Saccharomyces cerevisiae S288C: one gene and its partner. The protein of the gene in region 1 purifies or fractionates together with the protein of each later gene. This does not show direct contact. Each region holds a gene or a part of one and is shown on either strand. Other genes may lie near its edges.

Region 1 (7,525 bases):
GTGATATTACTTCGATAGATAAATGTTGGGGATATTCAACCTTACCTTGCTTGATCTTTTCATGTAAAACGCTCGAATTTTCGTCGTCAAATGGCACTTTACCGCATACCAAAACAAATAAAACTACACCAAATGACCAGACATCTACTTCAGGTCCTGTATAAGGATTCGCTTTTAACAGCTCGGGAGCGGCAAAATACAGAGAGCCACAGAATGTATGAAGCTGCTTCCTAGAATCATAAATATTTGAAAGTCCAAAATCAATTATCTTGATTTCACTGGAATCTGAAATCATTATATTTTCTATCTTCAAATCTCTATGGACGATGTTGTTAGCATGCAAATATATTAAGGCGCTCGCGATACCCCTAGCAAACTTTCTCGCTTGGTGTTCTCGTATTGACCCATGTTGGATGATATAGTCTAACAGCTGACCACCTGAAACATATTCAAACAACATATAGAAATGATTTGACAACGTGCACATCTCAAAAAGTCTACATATGTGTGGATGATATAAGATTTGTCCCAAGGACGCTTCTCGAATAGTTCTTTTGTCCCTAGATATTTCCTTCTCTAATTTCTTCTGTCTCTCCAAAACATCTTGTTCATTTTTGGGTGGTGGCAGCATTTGTTCTTTATGTAGGAAAGCCTTTGTAGCACGGTTTACAATTTTTACTGCACAAACCTCATTAGTGTAACGATGTTTTGCCAGCTTCACTTTACCCATAGAACCTGCACCAACTGTTTCAACAAACTCCCAATCTCCTAACGATTTTCGATGAAACTGCTTAGGCATGCCCTGAGAAGACGAAACTCGACTCTGGCTGGTAGTATTTGGCTTTGGTGCATTCTCTCTCGATTTACCTTCAAGTTCTACTTGTCTCTCCTTTTGCTCTGCTTGATGTGAGTTACCATTATTGGCGTATTTGATATCCGCCGGGGGCATTAGCGGTGTGTTCTGCTGCTGCTGCTGCTGTGGACTTTTTCCCATCATTCTCAGCGTAGCGGGCGCCATAGTGCTTGGTTGTGTATGCATGCTGTTGCTTTCACTATTGCCATCATCCTGCTGGTTACCTCTGCCCATTGAGAAGGCAGTATTTACGTGATAATCATCCATATTCTACGTGAGCAAAAAGTAATCGTAATAAACTGTACCTGTTTAAAAGAAGTTGAAAAAAAAAATGCGTAATAGCCCAAAATCCCTAGTATATTCAGTTGCTCTAATCGGAGCAAAGATGTTTGAATTTTACTAATCAATAGTTGGAAAATGAAAGACCGATAGGGTAGGGGGGCGAAGGGTGACAACTAATTATGTTAACTAGCCTAGGTTACCGTATGTCCTTATAATAACGAAGTAAATCTCAAAAAATTTCAAATCACAAAGTGGCTCTAACTAAACCTGCTTGATATCGTATCTCGCTAATACACTTCCTCAACGCCATAATTTCTTGTTAACGTTCCACCAATATCAACTTCTTGTCCCCTTTCTTTCCTTCCGCATTGGCGCCGCGTTGGGTTCCCCGGCTTGCAAATAACGACGATGAGTATAGCTTATTATGTATGTAGGTAATAAAGGCAAGTTACATACTACGATCCTGTGGGAGTGGTGGCAAGCACTACTAGACAGTTTCCATAGCGGGGTTACGTTTGCTCAAGGTTTTGAACTCTAGTTTCTACATCTTGGCTCTCCGTTTTCTGTTTCTTTTCGGAGGACTCTTCTACGTCCTGTAATGCATCGCCTTGTTCTTCTATTTCGTCATGCTCTTTAACCTTTTCCACGGGCACATTCTCCTTATCTTCACCCATATCTATATCGCCATCAGCATCTACTTCACCACTATCTAGTTTTTCCTTCTTCCTCTGTTCAACAGCAGCTTGGTATTCATCTAGTTTATCTCTAACCGGACCCTTCAATGCCGAGTGTCCTATATGGTCCAAAGCACTCAGAACATCATCTACACTGCAGCTTTTTTTATCTTGACTCTTTGCAATTTCCCTTGCAAACAGGAGCAAGTGGTTAACAAATACTGTAGCACCACGCTGTAACGCTAGTGATGCGTCTTTATTTATCAGCAGCTTTTTGCCGCTTTGCTGTGGCACTTCGCGTGCCAAATTCACAATAGTGCTTTTAGGAAATAACAGGTCCTGAATCGTAATGTTCTCTTGTTCTTTAATATACGAAGTAGTGGGGTAATTCCCTTGGGCGTCTTTTCTCCAACCTTTTGGTGGCATCGTGTGTAAAAATATATGGTCTGATATAAATAAGCAATGAAAGGCTTGACTTCTATTTCAAAGTATTAAATAATTAAAAAAATCCTTCCTTTCACCTAAAACCTCTAGGTAATATTCTGTGGCTTCTGCTATTGTGCCGCTATGAATAACAATTTTAAGCTCTGATGATCGAATCTGGTTTTTAACGTTATTCCAATTTGAGCCTTTCTTTATTCGTCCAAAGGGATAAAGCATTATTTTTTTTTCATCGCATTCAATGCTCATCGCAAAGTTACAGATCCTGAGCAGTCATAAGTTGATACCTTTCCTCTTACAATGTAGATATGGAAGGTTTCTTCAGGATACCCCTCAAGCGGGCAAATTTACACGGAATGTTGAAGGCTGCTATATCCAAAATTAAAGCGAATTTTACCGCGTATGGTGCACCAAGAATCAATATTGAGGATTTCAATATAGTCAAGGAAGGAAAAGCAGAAATTCTTTTCCCTAAAAAGGAAACTGTTTTCTATAATCCCATCCAACAATTTAATAGAGATCTAAGTGTTACATGCATCAAGGCGTGGGACAACCTATATGGTGAGGAATGTGGCCAAAAGAGAAATAATAAAAAAAGTAAGAAGAAAAGGTGCGCGGAAACTAACGATGATTCTTCCAAGCGTCAAAAAATGGGAAACGGGTCACCAAAAGAAGCCGTTGGTAATTCTAATCGAAACGAACCTTATATAAATATTTTGGAAGCATTGTCAGCCACTGGGTTAAGAGCCATTAGGTATGCTCATGAAATTCCCCATGTGAGGGAAGTTATTGCTAACGATTTACTTCCAGAGGCTGTCGAATCTATAAAACGAAACGTTGAATATAATAGTGTCGAAAACATTGTCAAGCCAAACCTTGATGATGCTAATGTCTTAATGTACCGTAACAAAGCGACGAATAATAAGTTTCACGTCATCGACTTGGATCCTTACGGTACCGTTACACCTTTTGTAGATGCGGCTATTCAGAGTATTGAGGAGGGTGGTCTAATGCTGGTAACTTGCACTGATTTATCCGTTTTGGCCGGTAACGGATACCCAGAAAAGTGTTTTGCCTTATATGGTGGTGCAAATATGGTTTCTCATGAATCAACTCACGAAAGTGCGCTGAGACTAGTATTGAACTTACTAAAGCAAACTGCCGCGAAATACAAGAAAACTGTGGAACCGCTTTTGTCGTTGAGCATTGACTTTTACGTCAGAGTTTTTGTCAAAGTCAAAACAAGCCCGATTGAAGTCAAAAACGTTATGTCAAGTACTATGACTACTTACCATTGTTCCCGTTGCGGCTCTTACCACAATCAACCTCTGGGCAGAATTTCTCAACGCGAAGGTAGGAACAACAAAACATTCACCAAATACTCGGTTGCGCAAGGGCCTCCGGTTGATACTAAATGTAAGTTCTGCGAGGGGACATACCATTTAGCTGGTCCAATGTATGCAGGACCTCTACACAACAAGGAGTTCATCGAGGAGGTGTTGAGAATTAATAAAGAAGAGCATCGTGACCAGGATGATACATATGGAACACGTAAAAGAATTGAAGGTATGCTATCTCTAGCTAAGAATGAATTATCCGATTCGCCATTCTATTTCAGTCCTAACCATATTGCATCGGTAATAAAATTACAAGTACCTCCCTTGAAAAAAGTAGTCGCAGGCCTAGGTTCCCTAGGCTTTGAATGTTCATTGACACATGCCCAACCATCGTCCCTAAAGACTAACGCTCCATGGGATGCAATCTGGTATGTGATGCAGAAATGTGATGATGAGAAGAAAGACTTAAGCAAAATGAATCCAAATACTACGGGCTATAAGATTTTATCGGCAATGCCAGGATGGTTGAGTGGCACTGTCAAATCAGAGTATGACTCAAAGCTGTCGTTCGCACCAAATGAACAAAGCGGTAATATTGAAAAACTAAGGAAGCTAAAAATTGTGAGATATCAGGAAAATCCAACAAAGAATTGGGGCCCAAAAGCCCGTCCCAACACTTCATAAGAATTTTGATTAGTGTTAGAGCTAAAACGTAAGAAACTAAGGATCCGCCCGAGAACGGTATAATGGACGGAAAAGAATGCTTCTCTTTTGTAATATAGATGTTTAAAGTAATCAGGAGGGCAGTATGTATGTGTAAAAAATAAATAAATATATATATATATTTGAGGAACCAGATCTCAAATGAAAAATATAAGCCAGTATATTTTTTGCATTGTAGCCACTGTTGTAACCTCTGGGCATATAAATAATAATGTATAGCGCCTAGTATCAAACTAAACTCGCCATGTTGGTAGTGTTACACTCATTTTTAGCAAATTTTTTTTTCTTATCAAACTCATGCTTTTCTTGCCTTACTAAAGAAGTATACAGCACCAGGCCAACCTAAACAAACGCTCAATACTGCACTCCATTGAAAGATTTCTGGAATGAGCCTTCTACCTTCCGTAATTACCCACGATTCACCTATTCTACCGCCTGTATACCTCTTGATTGGGGCAGCACGAGCGGAAGATCTCAAAACTTGGCTGAAGAACATTTTACCTATTTAGAATTAAAAGAGTCTGTAAATATCTGTGATATGGTCAAGTGTCTAAAAAGTACAGACAAGGAAACGAAATAAAAAAAGAATTGTTTCGTCATGCAAGAGGAAAGTATGAAAGAAAAATGACTGGCTTATATATTAAGTGTCATTTAGTCGGAGAAAACACTATCATAAACAAAACCATGTTTTCTTTGGTTGCCTACTGATAGAGGGGTTTCCGCTTGCTGCATTTTCAGCAAGTAAAAATCAAGCTATTCTGGCCATTCATTTCTTGCACGGATACCATATCCCCTTGTTCACTCTTCTATTCTTCCCCCGCCCCATACGATCATTTTTCAGATCCCGCCTTTGTGCGGTCACCACAATGATTGAAGTTCCCTGCATCTTTATCTAAGCGACAAAAGTATTATCGGGTTTAAGAAAAAAGAAAAAAAGTATTTGTATTATTTAAAGTATACATTTTCATCTACCGGTTCAAGATAGTGACAAACAATTTTGACTACGACAATGGATTCTGTTGAAAATGAATATTGCTACGACAGTAATCGTAAAAAAAAGGGTAGAGAGTTTGAATACGTTTCGACATGCTTGTAAATAACACTCAATCAAAGTTTGAAAAACAAACTTTGGGGCTGATTCGTGTACCCAATCTGAAGATTCCGTAGCGTGCTTGATAATTTTCAAAAGGTCCTTTTTAAGATAACCTTGCTTGCTAAATGGCATCACCTTCTCATGCATAAGTTTTATTAATGTTTTGTGGAAGACATAACCACCCAAGGAAATACCAACCGTCCCCCCCACGGCACCGAAACAATATACGATAGAACCACTGATAGGTGACTTTCTTTGTTCATGGTACTCATGATAAAGATTTGACAGCAAGGTCAATATCATAGAGGAGCCCAAAAATGGCAGAGACAAACATATATATTGCTTCCATACTGGTAAATTCAAACTTACCCCCATAAGTGCCACATATAGTAACAGGGTGGCTCCGCTTAAAACAAATTTTAGCAAAAAATTCTGTCCTTTCGACTTCCAAAAATAAGAAACACTAAAGTAACCCAGTACAATGGAGAAAAAGAATGGGGACAATCTCTCTGCAAGTTGTAAAGTGCTTAAATTTAAAACAATGATGAAGTACGTTGTACCGAATGGGATGATGCACATTAATGCTGCAAAGCAAAATGAAATTCCTATCATTGTCCATATTAAACGCTTGTCACCTTGTAAGGACATTGAAATTACAGAGTTCATGTAAGTATCGCTTGTCTCTATCAAGAAAAATAAAATGCCACAAACGATAATTACAGAAAATAGTAGCGCTTGAATCATCGTATTATTCTTTAACCCTGTTAAATCCAATGAGGTCACTTGAACGAAACAAAGTAGGAATAGCGTAAGTGTCAATATTTCGTATAAATCAGGACTTAATAGAGTATTCTTGAATCTTTTCCATAATGTAGGCGTTGGGCGTCCATATAAAGTGCTCTTAACAGAATACATATCTGCCAGCATAATCGAGGCATTCACAAGGCAAAAAGGAACTGGTATTAAGAAGGCATTTCTCCACCCGCTACCATGAGAAGAATCAAACAAGTTCATCATAAAGGGCCCAATTACCACACCCATAGCAAATGTTATCATAGAGGCACTCAATGAGTACCGACTGTCGTTCTTTTGAGAAAACCGATTCATAATAGTACTTTTGAGCGCTATTAAGGAACCGCCCCCAAATCCTGTGACACAACGGGCAAAGATAAACGTCCAAAAATGGGCAGAACTCCAAGATAAATAGCCACCAAGGATAAAACTGAATTGAGCAATACACAACAACAATTTTACACTGGATATTAAAGATAGCTTCAAAAATACCAGTTGCCCAATAGCATTACTCAATAGGTATGCTGAGATGACTAAGGATAATCTCCATAACTCATGAAACTCCGAAGCAATTTTGGACGCAATTACTAGGATTATAGAACTGTCCATTGCAATAAAGAATAAATAAGTACACATACAGGATGAAAATATCCGTCTTCTCGTCAGATCATGTACAAGTTCATCAGATGATGTATTTTCGACATAAGGAGGATTCAATCCGTTCTCTACATCCCCGATGCTCTGGGGTATAGAGCCATATCCATATGAAGTGATTTCATCTCCGCTGACTGGTACTTCAGGAGATGGTGCAACAATGTGCAAAGATTTACTACTTGACGTCTGGTTATCTGCCTGCACTACAGGCATATCATCAGCTCTTTCAAACGAATTTGAGGAAGATACTGGTAGCTCGTGCTCACTCATCGGAGTATTGCAGCTGGTAATACTTTGCAATGGTGATACTGATCTATCACTAAAATCTGTAATAGAGCTTTGCAAAGCTGAATTTCCACATGCTTCATGTTGTGAAGGCGGCTTAAGATCGTCTTCATTAGCCTTGTCCGCAGGTTTTCCTTTAATGCTATTGACCTCATCTTGGGGCGAGTCATCAATTTTTGGGCCTTCGTGAAGAGGCTGTGCATCAATGGTATCAATATCAACCGCTTTCGGAATTGATACCTCCTCTTGTTTACTAGGAGCTGATAATAATGGACTATTTTCGTTAATCTCTTCGATTTTGTCGTTTCCTAAAGCAATTTGATTCGAAGTTCTTGGGACTTTAGCCTCTCGTTGAACCTCATTCTTCAATGTTTGCACGCTCTTTCTCAAG
Region 2 (7,954 bases), on another chromosome or scaffold:
CATAGCAAAACCCAGATGGACTATTCTTTTTTGCATGATGAAGACCACCAGACCAATTTATCGCTATGTCCGATTGATTGTTGATTAGTTTCCTGGTGGCGTCAAGGCTCGCACCAGTGTATAGTGTTGTATAATCATATAAATTTTGAAAAATAGGACAGTCGTCTCCAATGTTAAAATTTTCAAGTGTGCCTCTGGGCAGTTTGTTTGCATTTTCTGGTGAAACCTTCGAGAGAAAATTCACGTAGTCTTCCGAGTGAAATTGTAGTAATTCGTCTCTGGTAGCGCTTCTTGTTTCATAAAGGTCCATAATCTTGTGCAATCCATAAGAGGAAACTAGGTGATCCGTTAGCATTAACCGAAACGGCTTCATTGGATGCTTAACACCATAATGGTAATGTGAAACTTTGGAGTTAAAATGATACGATACCCTGGGAGAATAAGCAGAATTAAACTCAAATAATGGTTCGTTCTCCTTTGTTTTCACATCATAACTAAATGTTCCAGACATGTTGCGTGTTGTTATTCACTTGATACCTGATTTTAACGTACTTGAGTAATCTGGCGTCTTTTCTATAACTGTACATTGGCGACACACCTAAAACTGATTAGAATCGTTTCAAGATGCTTTCAGTTCAACATTTAGTAACATAGTAGGAATATCACGTTTAACGATGCCCCAAAGAACATCGAGAATCCTCTATATAGAGTATAAACAGGGCATTCTACATTGGTATAGAGGTGCCTTAGGTATATAGTGGTACCGGTCACATAAATTGACGGGAATATGCGTCTTTAGGCGGCTTTTGGCGTACAGTATTGTTCTTTCTTTCGTGCTTGTGAAACTTGTTATAAACAAAGAAAGAGAAAGATCTCCCCGGCATTCTGGAAGATCGGTAACCGCTGGAGCTATAGGAAAGGGAGATGGATAACAGTAAAGAAAACGGACCATATAAGTTAGCATTGGGGGTTTTCGAAAAAAATAAGAATTGGCATTCAGACTTGAATTCATAAAAGTTGTAAGCAGGCTATGATTAACGATAAACTAGTACATTTTCTGATCCAGAATTATGATGACATCCTAAGAGCACCGCTTTCTGGACAGCTCAAAGATGTGTATTCACTGTACATCAGTGGCGGATACGATGATGAGATGCAGAAGTTGAGAAACGATAAAGACGAGGTCTTACAGTTTGAACAGTTTTGGAATGATCTTCAGGATATTATATTTGCAACGCCGCAGTCCATTCAATTTGACCAGAATCTATTAGTGGCAGATAGGCCAGAAAAAATTGTTTACCTGGACGTTTTTTCCTTGAAAATTCTCTATAACAAGTTCCATGCCTTCTACTATACATTAAAATCGTCCAGTTCTTCATGTGAAGAAAAAGTGTCGAGTTTAACAACAAAACCGGAAGCTGATTCGGAAAAAGACCAACTGCTGGGTAGACTGCTTGGAGTCCTGAACTGGGACGTTAACGTCAGCAACCAGGGGTTACCACGTGAACAACTGAGCAATCGCTTACAAAATTTATTGAGGGAAAAACCATCATCTTTTCAGCTTGCTAAAGAAAGAGCCAAATACACGACCGAGGTCATTGAATACATCCCGATATGTAGTGACTATTCGCATGCATCTCTATTGTCCACCTCGGTGTACATTGTCAATAACAAAATCGTTTCTTTACAATGGTCCAAAATATCCGCATGTCAGGAAAATCACCCAGGATTAATTGAGTGCATTCAATCAAAAATTCACTTTATCCCTAATATCAAACCACAAACTGATATTTCGTTAGGAGATTGTTCCTATTTGGATACCTGTCATAAATTAAATACGTGTCGATACATTCATTACCTGCAATATATTCCGTCATGCTTGCAAGAGCGAGCTGATCGTGAAACTGCGAGTGAAAATAAAAGAATACGGTCAAACGTTTCCATTCCATTTTATACTCTGGGCAATTGCTCCGCACATTGTATCAAAAAGGCTTTACCTGCACAGTGGATCCGTTGCGATGTGCGGAAATTTGATTTTAGGGTTCTTGGAAAGTTTTCGGTAGTTATTGCAGATCCTGCATGGAATATCCATATGAACCTACCATACGGTACTTGCAACGATATTGAACTATTAGGTTTGCCTTTGCACGAACTACAAGATGAAGGTATTATTTTTCTTTGGGTGACGGGTAGAGCTATAGAATTGGGTAAAGAGTCTTTGAATAACTGGGGTTACAACGTGATAAATGAAGTTTCATGGATAAAGACAAACCAACTGGGTAGAACAATTGTTACAGGTCGTACGGGTCATTGGTTAAATCATTCTAAGGAGCATTTATTGGTGGGCTTAAAGGGTAATCCAAAGTGGATCAACAAACATATTGACGTCGATTTGATCGTATCAATGACCAGAGAGACTAGTAGAAAGCCTGATGAACTGTATGGTATAGCAGAACGGTTGGCAGGCACCCATGCCAGAAAACTAGAGATATTCGGAAGGGATCACAATACGCGGCCTGGCTGGTTTACCATCGGAAACCAGTTGACAGGAAATTGCATTTACGAAATGGATGTCGAGAGGAAGTACCAGGAGTTTATGAAGAGCAAAACTGGAACCAGCCACACTGGTACTAAAAAAATCGACAAAAAGCAACCTTCAAAATTACAGCAGCAGCATCAGCAGCAGTATTGGAATAATATGGATATGGGGAGTGGTAAGTATTATGCTGAGGCCAAGCAGAATCCTATGAATCAAAAACATACTCCCTTTGAATCCAAACAGCAACAAAAACAACAATTCCAAACACTAAATAACCTATATTTTGCTCAGTAAAGCGTTAAATAATCCTTTTAAACATTAATAGCATTGCATAAAAAAGATGGTCATAAAAAAGACTGCAGCGGGAAGTAAATGGTTTCCTGGTCTGTATTAGACAAACTTTGGAATAGAGAAGGATATGGTTTATGTCCAATAATTATTATCCGAGTCCGTGTATTTTTTTACATCAACTGGAACAATTTATTACCCGGATGTTTAAAAATTGTTGTCGCCTGGAGAAAGCTAATACTAGTTCTGGCCATATTTTCAACCATTAAACACTACTAATGTAATTACTTGACTTATTTGCTCCCACTCTTGGTCGGTTCTTTCCCATGGCGCATTCTACCATTCTTTTTTTCTACTCCAATCGTTCTTACTGGAAACTGTGGGAATAGCGAAGAACGACTATTATTTGCTAATACAGAGTAAGCTATCCTGCTGAATAGGTAGACGATAGTAGTAACCCAACGCCGCTATCCTTTCGATTATACCGCTATGAATGTAGTGATATGGTGCGGTATTGACACAATATAGTAATTTCGGGTAATTTTTTTTCCCACCAATGAGAGGCGGTACTGGGAGTATCGGTCTAAGAGAATCGAAAAATAACCCCCAGCTGGGATGTGATCACGATGAGTGACGGGATACATTAAATATAACAAACATACACGTTGCCTTGAACGTTTTCACTACACATCGCATGTGTTTTATCTAGATTTAAAATCATATTACTACAGTTCTACAGTTATACAAATAACAAACAATAGAAAAATGTTTAGACAGTGTGCTAAGAGATATGCATCTTCATTACCCCCAAATGCTTTGAAACCTGCATTTGGCCCACCAGATAAAGTGGCAGCTCAAAAATTTAAAGAATCATTAATGGCCACTGAAAAGCATGCGAAGGACACATCTAATATGTGGGTTAAAATCTCAGTTTGGGTCGCCCTACCAGCAATTGCTTTAACAGCTGTGAACACATACTTTGTTGAAAAGGAGCATGCTGAGCATCGTGAACATTTGAAACATGTGCCAGACTCCGAATGGCCAAGGGATTACGAGTTTATGAATATCAGGTCTAAGCCTTTTTTCTGGGGTGACGGTGATAAGACATTATTCTGGAATCCTGTTGTCAACAGGCACATCGAGCACGACGATTAATTAATTGATTAAGTGAGAATAAACTTTTCGAAAAATTTTTATTTATGATAATTTTACTAATTCTTACTTATTTCTTTTATATTCGATAAAAAAAATTCAAAATAAAAAAAGATTAATCCTTTGATAGGAACTAAAGGTACTAGGTATTTTGGGCGGCGAAGCATCATTCCGTTCTTAAACATCTATATATATATAATTATATTGCAAATGTATAAGCATTTAAAAACATAAACATGCACCTATGAAGAAGAATTTAAGACGTTTTATTTTTATGTTCCACGCGTTTTGGTGAAGTGATGAAAGAAGTCCTGATAAAGGGATGTCGGATTAATAATTGATACAGTGTTTATAAGATAGCTAATCAGAAAAAAAACGAAAGAAAATGGTATAAGTCTCAGAATAATGATAATAAAACACGCTTGAAGTAGAATAAAAATATAAGTAGAGAAGATAAAATAAAAAAATAAAGATAGAAAGATTTTCAATGAGGGGCAAATCTAAATCTAAAAAATTTGAATTCAAGTTCAATTTAAATTTCAATTAAAACAGTAGTAGTATGTGGGGAAGATATGGGATAAAAAAAAGTAAGGGAAAATAAGGAATTATTATAATTATAATGCGGAAAAAATGAATAAATTATTAGTTGCTGCAACAGCAATACTATTTTCTCTTGGATGCCATGAGAAATGTAAAATATTCTTCTTGAAATCAATATCGTCACCCCAATCCTTATTTCTTGCAGACCTTTGCGCTAGCGAACCGTATCTTTTGTTCCTGAACGCTGTTTTGTCAGCTTGTAACACGATTTCATTCATTTCGGTTCCCGAGTCCTCCGAATTTGCTCCTTCTCCTCCCGCTATACTGCTTCTAGAGCTATTACTACTTCCCACCATGCCTGTGTTGCGTCCGTTACTCCTACGCTTGTGGCTGTTGCCACTACTACTAGAATCTTTATTTTGTATGCTGTTGTGGATATTTTTATTGCTGTTGCTATTAGGTGCGTTGTGTTCATCAAAAGTTTTGACTATGCCATTATCATTATCACCAGAAGTTACTACATTAGGATAGATCATGAAATTGTTATTGTAAGAACCAGTCATTACACTTGAACTATCACCACTAAAATTAACTTCAAATTTATCGAAAATCGCATCGTTTTCATAGGTATCACTCAATCTTTCCTTCAATTGCTCATGTATGTTTATGGTTTTCAAAGGCTTATTATCCATATTTACGTCCCAAATTTTGACAGTTAAATAATCTCTGGATGCAATATACCTACCATTTGGACTAAATTTTATGTCGGAAATTGACGACGTGATTTCTGTAAAAAAATTATGATTGATTGGATCCAAATATTCTTCAAATGTTTTGGTTTTATTGTCACATAGGGAATTTTGTCTCATATCACACAACTTTATTGTACCTTTGGAAGAAGAGTACATGAATAAATTACATTCTTGCGGATGAAATTCAGCGCTTGTGATCACTTCGGTAAGTTCTTCCATATTGGTTGGCTTGATATCTACGATGTTGAAGCTCTGATCTGGTATGTCCAGATTCCATAAATTGATTCTCAAGTCGTCAGCACTTAAAAATGTTTCCTGATCAGAATTCAACGATATCGAATTAATGTGATAGGTATGTGCATTACTATATATACGCTTTGGGGTGGCAGCAATGATTTTGTCATGCTGTGATAATTGAGGCAGTTTCAGCGATTGTAAAGATAATACAGCCCTCACGGAGCCTCCTCTACTGTTATGGTTATCGGGCTTGCCTTTTTTCGCAAACGTAACCCCTTCTGTTAAGTTGTTCTGGCTTACCAATTTTATATTTTTCTCATAAACTTTCCAAAGTTTTATAGTTTTATCATTTGTGCTCAAAAGAAAGTGTGATCTTTGAGTTGGTCGTAACCATTTGATTTCATTTATCTTCTCTTCAATTTCTAAGGATTTTAAATAATCAAATTCTGCGTCATGACTTTGAAACTCTGTTAAAAACTTATATTCGCAATGTCTACTATTACTTCTTTCAAAAAGTACCACACGGCCACCTTTATCACCAGTGGCCAGATAATTTCCAGTATAGTCAAATTCTACAGCTGTAATTAGATCCGCCTCTGTCACCACAATATCTGCTTTATCACCAAAACATTGGCTGAATTTAAAATCAAAATTGTTTTGTGCCATTGTGCGCTATATTATATTTCTTTATGCGTAAGATCTCTCCAGTTTGACCTCGATATGTTGGCTAGATTTTATGAGGTTTACAGTTTATAGAAACACTAGTTTTCCCTTTCTTAATATGTTGGTGGAGTGGGGGTAATCGTATTAAGCTGCCTTATTCACCCTCTGATAGGAATAAAAATCGAAACAGGACGAAAAAAGGGTGAACTAAAATATAGAAGAGAGCCTAATTGACGTAATCGAATTCTTCTAGAATGCGTTTGTATATTCAATTTTCAATTCTTCCAGTCTCTTCGTGGAAAGTTCTCTAACGTAATAGTCTTGTCTTGTGCAAACTCCCTTTATCTTTGACGGGAAATGTTAGGCAAAATTGGATGGAAAAGAGAAAAAAGGAAGGAAAAAAACAAAAAAAATCTACTTAGTTAAGGATCTATTGACGTGCGCGGGGGGAGTATATGCCAATTGTCTCAAAAAAAAAACGTTTATGCCGTGCCGGAATAGAAATAGTTACTGGTCGTTTTCCTATCTGATATAAATCTGAGTAAAACGATTATTGTCTAACCCAATGCAATATATACAGATAGCATTCCGCTCATAGTTAATAATTAACTTCAGACAGTTTTTTTCAATATCTCATTAAAGGGAAGAAAGGGAGGCGAAAAAAAAATCAAAAAAATTATACTTCGTATCAAATTATATTCGTGGAAGGTGACGATAGTAATATTTGATGTTGAACATACTTGAAACATTAACATATTTAATAGAAAACTATTGTAATGGTTATTTTTTATTGATTAGAAATAGTAGAAAAATTTACTTATGTTTCACCTATATTAATCAAGTTATAAAGCCTTCTTGGCGGCATCAGCAGGGGAAACCTTGTTTTCTCTGTTGAATCTTGGTCTTTGAGGTGGAGCTCTGTTCTTTCTGTCTTCTCTGGATCTGACTCTGACAATTCTGGCGTGAATAGCACAAGAAACACAGTAGTGTAACTTGTTGTAAGTCTTTGGCAAAGCGTATTCAGGGTAGACAGAAGCTTCGGACAAATCTCTGACGGCAGCGGCTTCAACAATGTTTCTGATAGCCATTCTCTTGATAGCCTTATCCTTTGGAATAGACTTGGAACAGTTGACACATCTGACTGGTTTGACGTGACCTCTACCTTTCTTGTTTCTACCGTTGGAAGCTCTCTTCTTTGGCATTTTGAATGATCTAATTAAATATTCATCACGAGTATTGCAGGTTTGCAAAGAGTTAAAATAATTAGTTAGTAACTTCTCAATTTTTTTAAAATGATCGTGGCAAAAAGGGAAGGAGATATTTACGTAACATTTGAAATTTTCTCGGTACAATATTCTTCAATAATAAGTACATTGCATACGATGGGCGACTTCCTTCTTTTTCTTTAGTTAGTGTGAACTCATGATTGGCACACTTCTAGTGATTAACTGGTTTCCTTTCAGAAAACAAGTTACATTTGCCATGTTTTAATAATATCTTGTCACTATTACTTTCTCCCAATTCAAAGATCTCATCGTTCTTCCCTTCTCTACTTTCACACTTTTGTGTCGTTAACATACTACTTAAGACTATGGTTCTTTTATCTGTAATAGCGAACAAATTAAATCATTTACTATAACGAACATTAAATCTAGTAGGTATTTCAAATACCAAGTAATCCCTCAACACTCAATGAGAACGAAGCGGTGTAAGCTGACACTTCGAGTTCCGCCTATGTTACTGGATATGAGCCCTCCCCCCACGAAGGTTTTTTCCTTCCAGA

Evidence for each region.
Region 2: the proteins of COX26 (region 1) and COX13 purify together in Saccharomyces cerevisiae (affinity purification with western blotting, with the first as the bait; one study listed by BioGRID). This does not show direct contact.

Annotation. Positions count from the first base shown.
Region 1 is NC_001136.10:688,295-695,819, reverse strand, and holds COX26 (Cox26p), read right to left. Parts: upstream 4,807-7,525; coding exon 4,606-4,806; downstream 1-4,605. Other genes in the region: serine/threonine protein kinase KIN1, read right to left, coding at 1-1,120; DPB4 (DNA polymerase epsilon noncatalytic subunit), read right to left, coding at 1,645-2,235; TRM1 (tRNA (guanine26-N2)-dimethyltransferase), read left to right, coding at 2,559-4,271; VBA4 (Vba4p), read right to left, coding at 5,287-7,525. UniProt on the Saccharomyces cerevisiae protein: Component of the cytochrome c oxidase, the last enzyme in the mitochondrial electron transport chain which drives oxidative phosphorylation.
Region 2 is NC_001139.9:141,216-149,169, forward strand, and holds COX13 (cytochrome c oxidase subunit VIa), read left to right. Parts: upstream 1-3,592; coding exon 3,593-3,982; downstream 3,983-7,954. Other genes in the region: histone deacetylase HOS2, read right to left, coding at 1-511; YGL193C (uncharacterized protein), read right to left, coding at 701-1,012; IME4 (mRNA (N6-adenosine)-methyltransferase), read left to right, coding at 1,031-2,833; protein phosphatase 2A regulatory subunit CDC55, read right to left, coding at 4,594-6,174; 40S ribosomal protein eS26 RPS26A, read right to left, coding at 7,014-7,373; YGL188C-A (uncharacterized protein), read right to left, coding at 7,609-7,749. UniProt on the Saccharomyces cerevisiae protein: Component of the cytochrome c oxidase, the last enzyme in the mitochondrial electron transport chain which drives oxidative phosphorylation.